Xenopus tropicalis: one gene and its partners. The protein of the gene in region 2 purifies or fractionates together with the protein of the main gene of each other region. This does not show direct contact. Links are inferred from orthologs where the notes say so. Each region holds a gene or a part of one and is shown on either strand. Other genes may lie near its edges. The genes, in order: map3k7, usp18, skp2 and stat2.

What was found.
Region 1: the proteins of usp18 (region 2) and map3k7 purify together in Homo sapiens (affinity purification with western blotting; 4 studies listed by BioGRID, with this or other methods). This does not show direct contact. The link is inferred for Xenopus tropicalis from reciprocal best matches to the Homo sapiens genes USP18 and MAP3K7.
Region 3: the proteins of usp18 (region 2) and skp2 purify together in Homo sapiens (affinity purification with western blotting; 4 studies listed by BioGRID and IntAct, with this or other methods). This does not show direct contact. The link is inferred for Xenopus tropicalis from reciprocal best matches to the Homo sapiens genes USP18 and SKP2.
Region 4: the proteins of usp18 (region 2) and stat2 purify together in Homo sapiens (affinity purification with western blotting; 6 studies listed by BioGRID and IntAct, with this or other methods). This does not show direct contact. The link is inferred for Xenopus tropicalis from reciprocal best matches to the Homo sapiens genes USP18 and STAT2.

What each region holds. Positions count from the first base shown.
Region 1 is NC_030681.2:84,978,720-84,982,917, reverse strand, and holds the start of map3k7 (mitogen-activated protein kinase kinase kinase 7), read right to left. Parts: upstream 2,931-4,198; 5' UTR 2,703-2,930; coding exon 2,616-2,702; intron 1-2,615. UniProt on the Homo sapiens protein: Serine/threonine kinase which acts as an essential component of the MAP kinase signal transduction pathway. Plays an important role in the cascades of cellular responses evoked by changes in the environment.
Region 2 is NC_030679.2:8,493,635-8,497,265, reverse strand, and holds part of usp18 (ubl carboxyl-terminal hydrolase 18), read right to left. Parts: intron 2,746-3,631; coding exon 2,599-2,745; intron 2,505-2,598; coding exon 2,415-2,504; intron 922-2,414; coding exon 751-921; intron 539-750; coding exon 407-538; intron 279-406; coding exon 229-278; intron 107-228; coding exon 58-106; 3' UTR 1-57. UniProt on the Homo sapiens protein: Interferon-induced ISG15-specific protease that plays a crucial role for maintaining a proper balance of ISG15-conjugated proteins in cells. Regulates protein ISGylation by efficiently cleaving ISG15 conjugates linked via isopeptide bonds.
Region 3 is NC_030677.2:198,003,878-198,008,126, forward strand, and holds the start of skp2 (S-phase kinase-associated protein 2), read left to right. Parts: upstream 1-1,342; 5' UTR 1,343-1,397; coding exon 1,398-1,411; intron 1,412-3,328; coding exon 3,329-3,585; intron 3,586-4,249. UniProt on the Homo sapiens protein: Substrate recognition component of a SCF (SKP1-CUL1-F-box protein) E3 ubiquitin-protein ligase complex which mediates the ubiquitination and subsequent proteasomal degradation of target proteins involved in cell cycle progression, signal transduction and transcription.
Region 4 is NC_030678.2:138,441,519-138,445,149, reverse strand, and holds part of stat2 (signal transducer and activator of transcription 2), read left to right. Parts: intron 1-798; coding exon 799-884; intron 885-2,733; coding exon 2,734-2,882; intron 2,883-3,631. UniProt on the Homo sapiens protein: Signal transducer and activator of transcription that mediates signaling by type I interferons (IFN-alpha and IFN-beta).

The DNA of each region.
Region 1 (4,198 bases), on a different chromosome or scaffold from region 2:
ATTATTTGATTAAAATAGAGTCTATGGGAGACGGGCTTTCCGTAATTCTGAGCTTTCTGGATAATGGGTTTCCGGATAAGGGATCCCATACCTGTAGCAGCTAGTTGTCATGGCTACAAAAATTGACAATGCTGATCATTTACTGGTAATTGTCTCTACATGTGTAGAGGCAATTCTCAAGTTTTGTCTGTGGCAGGGTATTTTCTGGAGTTTTCTAGCCGTCGCAAGTAGCTGCTACTAAGCAGCTCCGTGTGTCTTTGCCCTAACAGTACATAGAATGAGAAGAGGCACTGCCAGCAAAATGCACCTTAAAAGGGATACTGTCATGGAAAACCATGTTTTTTTTTCCAAAACACATGAGTTAATGGAGCTTCTCCAGAGAGAAGCAGAATCCTGCATTAAAATCCATTTTTCAAATACACAGATTTTTATATTTAATTTTGAAATTTCACATGGGGCTAGCCATATCCTTCATTTCCCAGGGTGCCACAGCCATGTCACCTGTGCTCTGAAAAACTTCAATCACACTTTACTGCTGCACTGCAAGTTGGAGCGATATTAATCTCCCACAGCAGTCAATCAGCAGAACAATGGGAAGGGAGCAAGATATCAGCTCCCAGTAGATATCATAATAGCATGCAACAGTAAGAAATCCAAGACTTTTGTGGCGGCCAATAAGTCACCTAGACTGGATTTTTAAAATCGCAGCGACTAGTTTCTCTGTCTGTCTTCACCCTGATGGTTTCATTAAACCTAACCTATGCTATCAAGTCCCATGGTTCTACAGGAAAATATACTGCATGTTCCTGTACAAGGGAATTTGGATCAGACAACAATCCTTCACCGATTCCAGATTGATGAACTTTCACAATGTTGAGTTGAGGCAGCCACACACTTTAAGATCTGCTTGTTTGGAGAGTTCGCCAAACGAGTGGATCTTCTCGTTAGGTGGGCAAGTTTGGACCAAATGATGCAGTCCCTTATAAGTCATAAAATCAAACCTATCTGACCAAGATCTGGTTAATTTTAGGGCAGATCTAAAGCTGGCCATACACGCACCGATACTATCGTACGAAACCTCTTTTCGTACTATATTCAGTGCGTGTATGGCATGTCGGCGAGTCGACCAATATCGCAGGAAACTGCTAATATCGGTCGACTCGCCGATCGGACCGGTTAAAAAAATTTGATCGGGCGCCATAGAAGGCGCCTGACCAAAATCTGCCGTCAGGGCTGAATCGGCAGAAGGAGGTAGAAATCCTATTGTTTCTTCCTCCTTATCTGCTGTTTCAGCTCTGATGGGTGTGTGGCGGATCTGACGATGTAGTCAGGTAGGCCTGGCAGGCGTGCCCATACATGGGCAGATAAGCTGCTGAATCATTCTAAAGGACCCGAATCTGCAGCTAAAATCTACTCGTGCATGGCCACCGTAAGAATATCCAATTGGCCTTTGCTTGAAAATGGCATATACACAAAAGCAAAACGTCAATAAGACTAATGTGACAAGATTTGGGGTAAATTAACATAATTTAGAGGAACATCACTTCCCCTTTACATTCAACAGGAATCACCATGAGTACGGCACGACACCCATGTGACTACAACCAGAAAACATGCCTACCCAATATTTTTGGCTATAAATATGGTCATACTTCAAACACATGCATCAGCGGTAAGAATAAAAACAACTACATAAAACTGGTGCTTCACAAGTGTCTTTTCATTGTGTTTTCTGATAATTTAAAAACAAAATTCTTTGACAAACTATGAATTAATCTGTTTTGCTATCGCATTAATATTACAGATGAAACCAATAGAAAAAGAGGTTTCCAAGCAAAGTTTGTACCACTATGGAGATGCATGGAATGTGCAAGCCATTGGGAAATATATGAAATAAATCATACAAAAAATGGATGGGCTACCTGTCACCTCTGATGCCTCATATCAGCGGCAAATGTACAGATATGTTGTCTGGGACAAACGCAGTCTTTCAAGAAGCAATTCACCTGAATGTTATGACAGTTTGCTACTGTTCTTTAGTTATTTCTTTTGTTTTTTTGTTTTTTTTTAATTATTTCACATTTTGCTCTGCAGCTATCCAACTTAGAATGTTTACCTTGAACCAGGCAGTGGTTGGAAAGTCAGAAAGATGAAAAGGAAAGAAACTCTAAACAAAGACAAGCCAAAGACAAGTATCAGCTATATAATTGGGGGAGGGACAGTGTCCCCCAAAAAACTGACATTTTCAAATTGCAACATGTAAAATGGCAATGATAGGAGGGGGAATCATTAAAAAAAACCATAAAACATATAAATTAGAAATAATCAATTGAATAGTTGCCGAGAATAGGCCAGCCAGGAAAAACCTAATAGCTGCTTTACAAGTGAACTTCCCCTTTAAGGGTGTCTTTACTACTAGATTTGTCTCCATAGAACTTTCTCTGGCAAAGAATGAATAGGACTAAATATTTACAAACAATAAGCGGGGAAAGTCCAACCTGCGGTCAGTAAAGTGCAACTACTGGCAGCAACTGCTAGAAGTTATATGTTAATGAAAAGCTGCAGGTTGGAGATCTGCCTTTAGCCCATTTGCCCGTGTCACCCCGCAGGCTCACCTCTTCCACCTCTATCTCCTTGTAGTCGATCTCCTCAAAGTTTAGCACCGGTGGAGTCTCAATCATGTCAGCAGAGGCGGCAGACATGCCGTGCCCTTACAAGAGAAATCGGGGACCCCACCGGCGGAAGCCGGGGTACACAGCTGGGGAAAACAGAGCGGGTTTAACAGGAGCCACCGTAATACTTGTACGTGACGGGCGGCCCCGGCCCATCAAGGACCAGGTAACCCCCTTCTGGGCTGCTGGGCCTAGCCTGCTTGGAGCCAGGGCCTGTGGTGGAAGAGGGGAGGGCTCTCTTGCTACTACTGTAGCCGCTGATGCGCTGGCCAACTTCCGATCCGACCATACAGGTAGAGGCGAAGAAGCGCAGGCCTAATGCAGAGCGGCGGCGAAAGCAGGGCGGGGCTTCGTGATGTCGTCTTGCACAGAAGCAAAGTGAGGCGTGTTCGGAAAGATAGTTTTTTTATACAACTTTATTGACATGACAAAATGAAAATTCTTTCTACAATATAGTCTTTTTTTTTTTTGCTCTGCTGTTTTGTTTACGTTTTGCTGTCTTATATGACGGTACTATCTGCCCTCCGAAATAAATTGTCTCTGGAAGTGTTGTTAGGTTTTTAAAACTTCCAGAAATCATTTCTCAGTGCCTGCTCTTAATTTATAACCAATAGTGAAAGTATAGAAATATACTCTTATAGGCAAGTGCAGTAAACAAAGTGGAATTCTGAGTGCATTTTTTCCCCACAATGCAGCCTTTTCCACTGAATTGCAATCACTATTGCGCCTACACAACTACATTTGATGTGACAAAATTCCCACAACTGTATGCACATTTTGTCACAAATCTGACACAATTGTGCAGAAGCTGGGTTTTCCCTTTAACTTTATAGGGAGATCTCCAGCCTCAGGCAAGTGCTGGCTGGATGCCCCAGTTTGGAGCCAAAAATCAAGGGGGGGGCAGCAGTTGATAAAGGTGTTTTGCCAGTTTTTGGAGGAGAGATATAGAGTGAGCAGCCCGTACCACATGTTGTGAGTTGAGACTGAAAAAAGAAGAGTCTGCAGGGCTGCCAGGGATTACAAAGTCCTCTGTGGAATCTCCGTGTGTGTCCCCTGGTGAGAACAGGTATGTATGTGTAACCCTTTCTTGGCACATTCACTTATATATGGCTGTATTTTCAGGAGATGTGTGTTCTCAAAGAATATTGATACTGGGAACTGGGAACAGCGCAGTGCCTCCACCTAGTGGACACTGAGGAACACACCTCTAGGGGATTTCCACTAGGAAATAATCACACACAGGTTTGGCAGAAATGTTAAACTTTATATAACTGTTGGAGTTGGAAGTTAACACTTTATGTACAACTGATTTTCCTGCTCTGAGGAACCCATGTAGTTTATCCACAGCTGGCACCGACAGTCTCTATAGATGCCCAATCCCCACTTGGATCCGGATAAACCACAACCCTTAGGTTAGTTCAGTCCCTTCCCCAAGAGCTCTTTAGTCCCCCCAGGTAGCGCTACCTGCCCCAGAGTACCTTCCCTTTATAAAGGTGGCTGCTCCCACGTAGCAGGCAAACGAACAA
Region 2 (3,631 bases):
TTCCACGTGTATTGAAATAATATGGACTGTGTCCGTCGTCCTGCGGCGTTGGCGTCTCTAGTTCCCATCTCCCTGTAGATAGACCAGCAGACAGGCTGTAGCACTGCTGAAAGGAAATATCAGAAAGATTCGTGTAAATTTAAAGGGGAAGTAAAACCAAAAATTGAATTTTGCCTAGTTTATTAGGGAGCTATAGGTTGGGAAGACCCTTTTTCTCCTCGTACTTACAAGTGAAAGTCCATGTTTCCATAGGTGCATTTCACATCATCCCAGGATACCTATAATACATACACAAAGTATATAATGTTGTCCATCGATCAAACAGAACCCGCCCCCGGCACCACCCAGATCATTACATGGGCGTTGCCTTTAGTTTGTGCCATTTGGGTAACACCATCTCTCTCACCTTGCAAACGCTGGAGTCATTAAAGCTGTACCACGTCTGGTCCTTTGAGCTATTGATGTAGGCACAATAGTGGCCAAAGCTGGCCGTTCCAGAGTGGGCGATGACAGCAAAAAGTCTATACTTGAAGTCTGACTGGAAGAAAAACAAAATGGTGGTATTTTGGATTGTGTCCCTCATGGTCCAACCCCCAGAGTGGCCCGAGTCATTTTATATTATATTATTTAATGACTGTTTGCAATGACAACCAACTGCTAGAAGCTGGGGTCAGCTGGCACATCCATCATTTAGGTGGAAAACCTTGGGTGAAGGTCCTTAATGCCTTTCTTTGGTACCAGCGGCTGTACCTGAGCATGTTCTTGTACCGGGAACTGCTCCTGATCCAGAACATCACTCAAGTCCAGCGTGCAAGGGAAAGAGAACGTTCTGTTTATCTTCTGTACGTCGGAGGTCTTTCTTCTGCTAATACGTTTCAGATGTATGGACAGCGTCTGAGGTAGAGAGAAGAACTGGAGAACCTGCAAAGTATGGAGGAAGGGAAGCTAAGGTACAAGACATCTCTATGGTCCCTGTGTTAGGTCATGAATTGTATTCACTGGTGGAAGTCTCTTCTCCAACCTGGTATGGGCCATGTTGTGCCAAAAGTAACAATGTAGGTTGTGAAGATACATCTCCTACTTGGGACATCAGCTTTCCAAGACTCTGTATTTGGGCCATTTATGGTAGAGATAACATGGCTTGACCTAGACCAGGGATCCCCAACCTTTCTTACTCTTGAGCCACAGTCAAATGTAAAAAGACTTGGGGAGCAACACAAGCACCATAAAAGTTCATGGAGGAGCCAAATAAGGGCTGTGATTGGCTATTAGGCAGCCTCTATGCACCTATCAGCTTACAGGGGCTTTATTTGGTAGGGAATCTTGTTTTTATTCAACCAAAACTTGCCCCCAAGTCAGGAATTCAAAAATAACTCCCTGGTTTGGGGGCACTGAGAGCAACATCCAAGGGGTTGGGGAGCAACATGTTGCCCGGAGCCACTGGTTGGGGATCACTGACCTAGACCCTCTCCTATACATCTTGCTGTCTGAATTTCCAACAAATACTAAAGGTTTAAAAACTAAAGATGGCCATACCTTGGACCTGTTGAAGACCTTTGGCCTCTGTACAGGGCCAAAACAGCCTGGCCGATCAAAATATCTAGCTGGGGATCAGGTAGAAAAAGATCCAATAGAGAAACAAATTGGGTAGTGGTGGTCCTCATCAGATCACCTTGATTTAAACTGTTCCAACCTGGAACTTAGTTGCATTATGGTATGGGCCATGTTTTGCCAAAAGTCTCCAAAGTAACAAAGTAGGCTGTGGAGATGCATCTCAGCTTTCCATGGTAGAGATAACATGACTGGTTTGACCTAGACCCTCTCCTATACATCTTGCTGTCTGACTTTCCAACAAATACTAAAGGCTCAAAAACTAAAGGTGGACCCGTTGAAGACCTTTGGCCTCTGTACAGGGCCAAAACAGCCTGGCCGCCCGATATCCAGCTGGGGATCAGGTAGAAAAAGATCCAATAGAGAAACAAATTGGGTAGTGGTGGTCCTCATAGGACCTTCTTGGAATCAGATCCCCTTGATTGAACCAGCCACCTAGGTGGCCAAATTGAGCGAAGATCTACTCCACCAGCAAGTGGATTTTTATATATAATATATATGGACACCAATGCCCACACAGCATATATCTGTGAACTTTAATGGACATATTGGGCGGCTACTCAACACTTAATGGGTCAAGATATGCCACCCCTGGCTGCTCCAACTCCTTGGCTAGCCCATCCTCTGATCATCTGGGTAAATATCAACCATTTTCTCAGCATTAAGTGTCCACATTGACCACTACTTAATTTGCTGAACAACCAGGTGAGTGGCCGGTTACTTCGATGTATGCCCAAGTAGTTAATGGCCAAGTTAATGGTCAAGACTTGTTTTTCATATAATAAAGAAAGGCTTTGCGTTACCCTCTGTCCTGCGGTGTTTTCGGCACATTTCGGACAGAAATTGTCTTCACTTATCTCGTGCGGCTTAAAGAACCTCCAGAGCGCTCGTTGCTGGGTAAAAGCAAAACGTAGGGAATGATAAGAAGATCCCAACGCAACTGAAGCGCAACTGCAGGTAGCCGCTGTGGCCCTAGTGTGTACTCACCAGGGGCAAAGGCCTTTGGTATTTGGAGTGGGGAACTGGCAACGGAATTGTCAGGACTTCCATGTCACTGGACTTTTCATGGGAGCATTTGTGGCACGTCACGTGTTCTTTAAGTTTGATGCCATAAAGTGCCCTCAGCCTCTGTGCCTGAAGAAGGGGACAGGATATACATGATAACTATGTATAAATATACAAGGGGATCATATAATAACCTTTCTAATGTTTTATTTACCAGTAGGTCCTTCCAACGGGCACGAGGGCACCCACTCCGTTTAGAAGAAGGGAGGTTTTGTTTAGATATCACTCCAACTTGCAGCGCAGCAGTAAAGTGTGCCTGAGTCTGAGCTTTCAGAAGGAGCCAGCCCTACACATTAGAACTGCTTTCAGCTAACCTGTTGTTTCTCCTACTCCCATGTAACTGGAGGAGTCCCAAGCCGGACTTGGATTTCTTACTATTGAGTGCTATTCTGATACCTACTGGGAGCTGCTATCTTGCTCCCTTCCCATTGTTCTGCTGATCGGCTGCTGGGGGTGAGGGGGGTGGGATATCACTCCAACTTGCAGCGCAGCAGTAAAGTGTGCCTGAGTCTGAGCTTTCAGAAGGAGCCGGCGCTACACATTAGAACCTGTTGTTTATCCTACTCCCATGTAACTGGAGGAGTCCCAAGCCGGACTTGGATTTCTTACTATTGAGTGCTATTCTGATACCTACTGGGAGCTGCTATCTTGCTCCCTTCCCATTGTTCTGCTGATCGGCTGCTGGGGGTGAGGGGGGGGGATATCACTCCAACTTGCAGCGCAGCAGTAAAGTGTGCCTGAGTCTGAGCTTTCAGCCAGCGCTACACATTAGAACTGCTTTCAGCTAACCTATTGTTTCTCCTACTCCCATGTAACTGGAGGAGTCCCAAGCCGGACTTGGATTTCTTACTATTGAGTGCTATTCTGATACCTACTGGGAGCTGCTATCTTGCTCCCTTCCCATTGTTCTGCTGATCGGCTGCTGGGGGTGAGGGGGGGGGATATCACTCCAACT
Region 3 (4,249 bases), on a different chromosome or scaffold from region 2:
CCTTCCCAGAGGCTATTATCCCCCACTGCTACTATAGGCACCATCTCTCCCTACTATACCTGCTATCCCACAGCCCCAGTCCCTTCCCAGAGGCTATTATCCCCCCACTGCTACTATAGGCACCATCTCTCCCTACTATACCTGCTATCCTACAGCCCCAGTCCCTTCCCAGAGGCTATTATCCCCCCACTGCTACTATAGGCACAATCTACCCCTACTATACCTGCTATCCCACAGCCCCAGTCCCTTCCCAGAGGCTATTATCCCCCCACTGCTACTATAGGCACCATCTCTCCCTACTATACCTGATATCCCACAGCCCCAGTCCCTTCCCAGAGGCTATTATCCCCCCACTGCTACTATAGGCACAATCTACCCCTACTATACCTGCTATCCCACAGCCCCAGTCCCTTCCCAGAGGCTATTATCCCACTGCTACTATAGGCACCATCTCTCCCTACTATACCTGCTATCCCACAGCCCCAGTCCCTTCCCAGAGGCTATTATCCCACTGCTACTATAGGCACCATCTCTCCCTACTATACCTGCTATCCCACAGCCCCAGTCCCTTCCCAGAGGCTATTATCCCCCCACTGCTACTATAGGCACCATCTCTCCCTACTATACCTGCTATCCCACAGCCCCAGTCCCTTCCCAGAGGCTATTATCCCCCACTGCTACTATAGGCACCATCTCTCCCTACTATACCTGCTATCCCACAGCCCCAGTCCCTTCCCAGGGGCTATTATCCCCCCACTGCTACTATAGGCACCATCTCTCCCTACTATACCTGCTATCCCACAGCCCCAGTCCCTTCCCAGAGGCTATTATCCCCCCACTGCTACTATAGGCACCATCTCTCCCTACTATACCTGCTATCCCACAGCCCCAGTCCCTTCCCAGAGGCTATTATCCCCCCACTGCTACTATAGGCACCATCTCTCCCTACTATACCTGCTATCCCACAGCCCCAGTCCCTTCCCGGAGGCTATTATCCCCCCACTGCTACTATAGGCACCATCTCTCCCTACTATACCTGCTATCCCACAGCCCCAGTCCCTTCCCAGAGGCTATTATCTCACTGCTACTATAGGCACCATCTCTCCTTACTATACCTGCTATCCCACAGCCCCAGTCCCTTCCCAGAGGCTATTATCCCACTGCTACTATAGGCACCATCTCTCCCTACTATCCCACAGCCCCTTAAATTGTGTTATTTCCATTGCTGCTCCCCTACAGAAAAGTATTCCTGCGCCTCCCAAGCTGGCTATAATGCGGCAGACAGCGCATGCGTAGAGGCGTAGAGGTGCGGCGCAGGCGCAGAGTGACGCGCATAGTGACGCAGGAGGCGGCAGTAGGGGAGCGGGAAGGTTACAAGTGCACAAAGTGGCGCGCTGATGGCTGTACACAGGTAAATGGGGCAGCGGGAATGGTTTGTGTGTTTTTGCGCTCAGTGTTATGGCTCAGAGCTCCCAGGCAGCTCTCCTTGCTGTAAAACCCACACACTGACCTGGGCACAATACTTCGGCTTTAGGATAGGAACTTATTGGCGCTCCAGCTGTTTAAATAGCTACAAGTGCTCGCAGCCGCTAGTGCTGCTGGGAATTGTAGTCTGTATACGAGTGTTAATTTTGCCTTCACTTACAGAGGAATATTCTCCTGCTTGTGGTTAGATTGGGTGTAGTTGCCTTTGTGTACCCAAGCCTCTCTGCCAGCTTTTAGCGCTTGGCCTTAACTGTGGGTGCCAACAGCGCCCAATTGCCGAGGGCACCCTACTTTTTATCCTGCTGCCAGGGTTATTTTGCCTTTCTCCCTTGGAGACTGAGCAGCTGCACAGATGTTAGTGTTCTATGGCCACAATACAACTCACACTGTGGGGGGAGCCTGTGCCTGGGGCCCCTCCCTCATTAGGGCCCCACAACATACACAAAGGGCATGTTATTACATTTAACTGTTGATGGGTATATTTAATTGTAAAGATCAGGATTGCCCAACCTGCAGTTGGTGTACATTCCCCAGCACCCTGTGACAGTCTTTGTCTGTAGGGGGGATGCTGGGAGTTGTATGTTTAACCCTCACATGGCTCACATCGGCTGCACATGGGGGGTCGGTGACCCCCATTTGAAAGCTTAAGAGGCAGAAGAGGAAGGCGAATAATTCAAAAACTATATATAAAAAAAAATAATATATAATGAATATATAATAGAATGACCAATTAAAAAGCTGCTTAGAACTGGCCATTCTATAACACACTAAAAGTTCGGTTAACTTTTAGTATTCAAGTAATATGAGACAAGTCACAATTTGTCTTTTTTTAGTTGTGGTTTTACATTATTTTACTTTTTGTTGAGCAACTTTCAAGTTTGGAATTTCAGCAGCTATCTGGTTGCTAGGGTTCAGAGTACCTTAGCAACCAGGGGGTCATTTGAATGAGACACTGGAATATGAATATGAAAGGGTCTGAAATAAAAAGATAAGTAATAATATCAATAAAACTGTAGCCTCACAGAGCATTAGGTTTTTGATTGCCGGGGTCAATGTCCCCCATTTGATATCTGGAAAGAGGCAAAAAAGGAGGGCAAATAAAAAAAAAATAAATAAAAAAGACCAACTGAAAAGTTGCTTAGAATTAGCCAATCTATAACATACTAAAATGTAATGTAAAGGTGGTTTGCATTTAAATTAATTTTTAATATGACATAGACGGTGATATTTTAAAACAATTTTCAGTTGGTTTTATTTATTTATTTTTTTGTAGTTTTTCAGTTATGTCGCTTTTTGTTCATCAACTCTCCAGTTTGGAATTTCAGCAGCTATCTGGTTGCTAGATTCTTGTTTACCGTAGCAACCATAAAATTGTAAGATCACAGAGCAATAGTTTTTTGGCTGCCAGTGACCCCCATTTGAAAGCTGGAAAGGTGTTCAAGTGGAAGGCAAATAATTTGAAATCTGTTAATAAAAAATATATATAATGGTGATCAGTCGCAAAGTTGCTAGGAATAGGACATTCTATAACATACTAAAGGTTAACGTAAAGGTGACCCACCCCTTTAAGAGTTGTGTGAACAGGAAAGATGTAGTTTTGGGCCTTTCCTGTTCAACATGACAGGTGGTGTGGGGGTAAAATTAATGTGGTTTGAGTCCTTTGGGGCACCGCCCACTGTCGGGGGAGTTGGGGATGATGATAAAGGTTATGGGATGGGACTGCTGAATATGAATCATTATACAGAAGCCCTTAGTACTGACACATTGACCAGTAATGTATAAAACGGACTGCTTTGCCTTATAAATATGGCAGATGGTATAACTCTCTCGTTCTCTGTTGCAGGAAACACCTCCAGGAGATCCCTGCTCCCAGCAGGAACGCGTCCAACCTCATGTGGTGCTGGGACTCCAACAAGCCTTCAGACCTTTTCTATGGCATGGGGGTGACTCCTATGGAGAAGGATTTGCAAGACACAGAAAATACCCCTCAGGACTATATAGTAAAGGCCAGTCCCCCACAGAAACGCCCGAGGCCGAAGGAACGGGATGAATGCTTTGTCATTGCACGGCGGCCCCGGGTGGCCAGACCTGCTCAGACAGGTACGGAGCTCGTGTCAAAAAAAGAGGGTATATTTGCCCTTTAAAACTATGGCTTCCAACAAACATCACCCTAATGCTTGGGGCAGTTGGGCAGGTTTCATTTAGATAAAGAGGAGGGACATGCGTCTTTTTTGCAACCTAAATTACTATAAGTTTAAACCCTATTGCCCTGCAGCATAACCCTCCTCCTATTCTTCCAAGGCATAGAATATGCAGGGGGGCCATGCTTTATTTACATACAAGGCTCAGAGGTGGGGGTTGGTTGGTTAAATAGAGACAACCCTGAGGATCCAGGAGGTTCAGTTAAAGCTGCAGTAAGGGTTGTTAGTAAGGGTATAGGGCTACTTGGCATTAGAATTGGCACAGTAACCCTGCTCCATAAGAACAGTGGCTTTTTCATGCTGCTGCTACTTGTAGCACCAAGTTCTTGGCCGACCCAAAGTCCTTTGCACCCCAATGGCAAGCAAAGGCCGTTGCATCACTGCTATAAACAGGAGACACCCCAGAATGCCACAGCCCTAATACTAATAATGAAATATTTATCCTGGATTTTAGTTGCCCTTTGTCTTAAATCTTATAAACTTACTTTCCATGGGGAATGGGCTTCAGGGGATATTTTGTTGCCCACACCATGTGTATGCATGTGACTAGATTTTTAAAATCA
Region 4 (3,631 bases), on a different chromosome or scaffold from region 2:
TCACAATACCTAGGTTACACACTTTTTTCCACTGTATTTACTTTTGTGATATTACCTTCCATGAGAATGGTGTGAGCACGCTAGCACCTGTACCTGACAGATGAATTTTGATATTAGCTAGTCCTAGCTCATTGCTGTTGGAGCAAGGTAATAGTGACTAATCTCCCCGTGTGCCAGAGCCCTTATTCAGCATAAATGTCATCAAGAATACAGGCTCACACAGGCAGAACTGTCTTTGCTAAAAGTTCTGCTTTGTTTGAGCACTGTAATGGTTAAACTAAGCTCAGGAGAGGAGGTTAGGAGAGCTAGAGCTGAATTTCTACCAGCAATGCCATCTCTTCATTGGTTGCTAAAATGGGGGGTGTGTTTAGTAATCTGAGCTGAAAAAAACTGACCATGTCTGGCAAGCCAGAAATCAAAGCAAATTCCAGAGGGGGGAGGGGGGGGCAGTGGGTTACAGGAGGAGAAGGAAAGTGATTAAGGAGATGCTGCAGCCTTACTATTAACCTCTGGACAACCAGTGTGGCAGGCATTGAAAGATTTCAAAGAGGCTGTTCACTGATTATATTTTTGTGTACGGGGTTTACATGTCCATTAACTTCAGCTGACTAAAGTTAAAAATGTATTTGCAGTGGTCAGTTCTTTAAAATGTATCAATAAGTTAATTTCCTGGTGCAGGAGAAGCCCAGGATTCCTGCCAAACATACCCTGGGAGATTGGGATTGCTTTGCATTACCATACAAAAAGCCCTTTTATATGCCTGATCACTGGCTAAGTTCTTGTTTGGTACCCTTACAGCAAGGTCACACCCCGATGACAAACATTTAAAGAAGAAAAGAGATGAACTGCAGAGTCTGTTAAATGAACTGGACAGGAAGCGCAAGGTCAGTTTTATAGGATAATGTTGTTTATGCATGTGTTGTGTTGTATTATCAGCACGGGGATTATTTAGAAAGTATTTGTCATTACAAACACAGCTTATTTTAGAACACGTCTAAACCTTAGATTTATGACCTATCTCACAAATGATTCATTTGCTGTTTTACAAGGGTATGCATTTTACTATAATGCAGACAATGATATTCTGAGATAATCTGCAATTGGTCTTAATTTTTAACTTTTTGTGGTTTTGCAATTATTTTGCTTTTTGTTCAGCAGCTCTCCCGTTTGGAATTGTAGGGTCAAATTTACTCTAGCAACCAAGCACTGGTTAAAATGAGCTTCTGAATAAGTGGCTAAGGGCCATGGAATGCGTCAAGCCAAGCTGGTGATACTTTGGGGTGAAGCCTATTATGTTTCTTTTTGGTTTTTTTTTGCCACATTATGTTTACTTTTAACCTTACTGGCTGGTGCTCCATGCCAAGGACTGATATTCTGGTTGAAATGAGAGCCTGGGAGATAAATAGGAGAAGTCAAAATTGAAAGATAAGTAATAAAAGGAACAATGAAACTGTAGCCTCATGGCACAAAAGCTTTTTGGCAGGGGTCAGTGACCCCCCCCCCCCTCCATTTGAAAGCTGGAAGATGCAGAAGAGGAAGGCAAATAGCTAAAAGAAACTATTAAAAAAATAAACAAATAAAATGAAGACAAATTGAGACGTTGCTATGAATTGGACATTCTGTAACAAACTAAAAGTAAAACAAAGGGATTCTGTCATGATTTTTGTAATGTAGTTTTTATTTCTAAATTACACTGTTTAAATAGCAAATAATTCTCTCTACCATTTAAAATTTGATGGGGGAGATGTGCCCAACTTATATACATGGTAGAAAAATAAAGGGTTTATGTGTTCTTTAACAAACAAAAGGAATTCTGGGAACGAATTCCAGACTCTTAAAAAAAATCCCATTTACATGGGTTTATCCTATAGGCTACAGCTCACCCACTGGGTTTGAAGCTGAAGTCAGGACAATAGCTGATCAGATTCCCAACTACAGACCAGTTTCGCCCTTATTGGGGGCTCATCAGTGTAGTGTAGGGTTTTCTGATCAGCTTAGGTAGAGTCACCATGTGGTTCTACAAACAAATAAATAAGGTTGAGGAGACTGCCTCACACAGACAAAAGCAAACAAAAGGAATTCTGGGAACGAATTCCAGACTCTTAAAAAAATCCCATTTACATGTTCTTTAAGATAGCTGTTGAGACTTTGGCTTTCTGCCATCCCGCCGGCGACTTACATGTTCGCCGGTGGGATGGCAGGGGTAGGCAACTCGGGGAGATTAGTCGCCCGCGAACAGGGAGTTTTATCGCGGGCGACTAATCTCCCCCGTGTGCCAGAGCCCTTAGAAGTTAATAGCCCCCACATAAGAACATGCTAAAGGCACTTTCTCCATCTCCCAGATATTACAAACACACGGGTAATGACCCGGACACTCTATTCTGCTAATTTCTGAGTAGCCACACGACTACTTTTGTTCCCCTAATTTAACTAAATTAAAATGAAACATTCACTGAAATTGTGCCTCCTAGTGGGCTAAAACATAATTTGGTACTGAAGTTCACCCTCTCTGGCTACTATAGTTTAGCCCTCAAGTGAAAGGAAGGCAACAATAATTTGTGCCACACATGCACATTATTATTATTATTATTAACATTTATTTATAAAGCGCCAACATATTCCGCAGCGCTGTACAATAAGTGGGTTTTATACACTGGACACATTCTCTACTGTTCTTTCTCTGCTCAGCTGCTCATGTAGGCTATACCTTAAAAATATTCTTTTTACCCCCAGGAGGTTTTGGATCAAATAAAGGGCCTGCTTGGGTTGTGTGAGACACTTGTCGAATTCCTGCAGCAGGAATTAGATGAGTGGCTGTTAAAGCAAAAACTGGAATGTATTGGAGCCCCCACAGAAACATCTCTCAAGAATCTTCAGGGCTGGTGAGTAGAGAAAGCTTAATTCCACCAATTCATTTCACCTCATTACTGATCTGGGATTAAGTAAAACTCAAATGTATGGATTTCAGCCCAAACCAGTCAGTGAAGCTTCAAGATAGATCAAATAGGACGTGATCTGCTTTTCTCTGCCTGTGTACATCGTGTACCCTTAGCCTTACAGATCAATTGTTTTTTGGTTGCCAGGGTCAGCGACCCCATTGTGAAAGCTGAAAAGGGGCAGAAGAAGAAAGCAGATGATTAAAAAACTATAAAAAATGAAAGGCAATTAAAAAAGAATAGAACTTTTTATAACATACTAAAAGTTAACCTAACTTTAATCTTTTTAGGAAGGGATTACATACAAGGTTATTGATAGTAATGCTCTTAGTACAATGTTTCCATTAGCACAACTATAAATTAGGAAGGGATAACATACAACATGCCTTTAAGAGGGGCTCGGATGAGTTCTTGAACAAGCATAATATCCAAGCCTATTGTGATACTAATATCTACAGTTTGTATTGATGTTGGTATATATGGTTTATGTATGTGAGTGTATAGATAGGTCAGTATGGGTCTGTATGTGAGTGTATAGATAGGTCAGTATGGGTCTGTATGTGAGTGTATAGATAGGTCAGTATGGGTCTGTATGTGAGTGTATAGATAGGTCAGTATGGGTCTGTATGTGAGTGTATAGATAGGTCAGTATGGGTCTGTATGTGAGGGTATAGATAGGTCAGTATGGGTCTGTA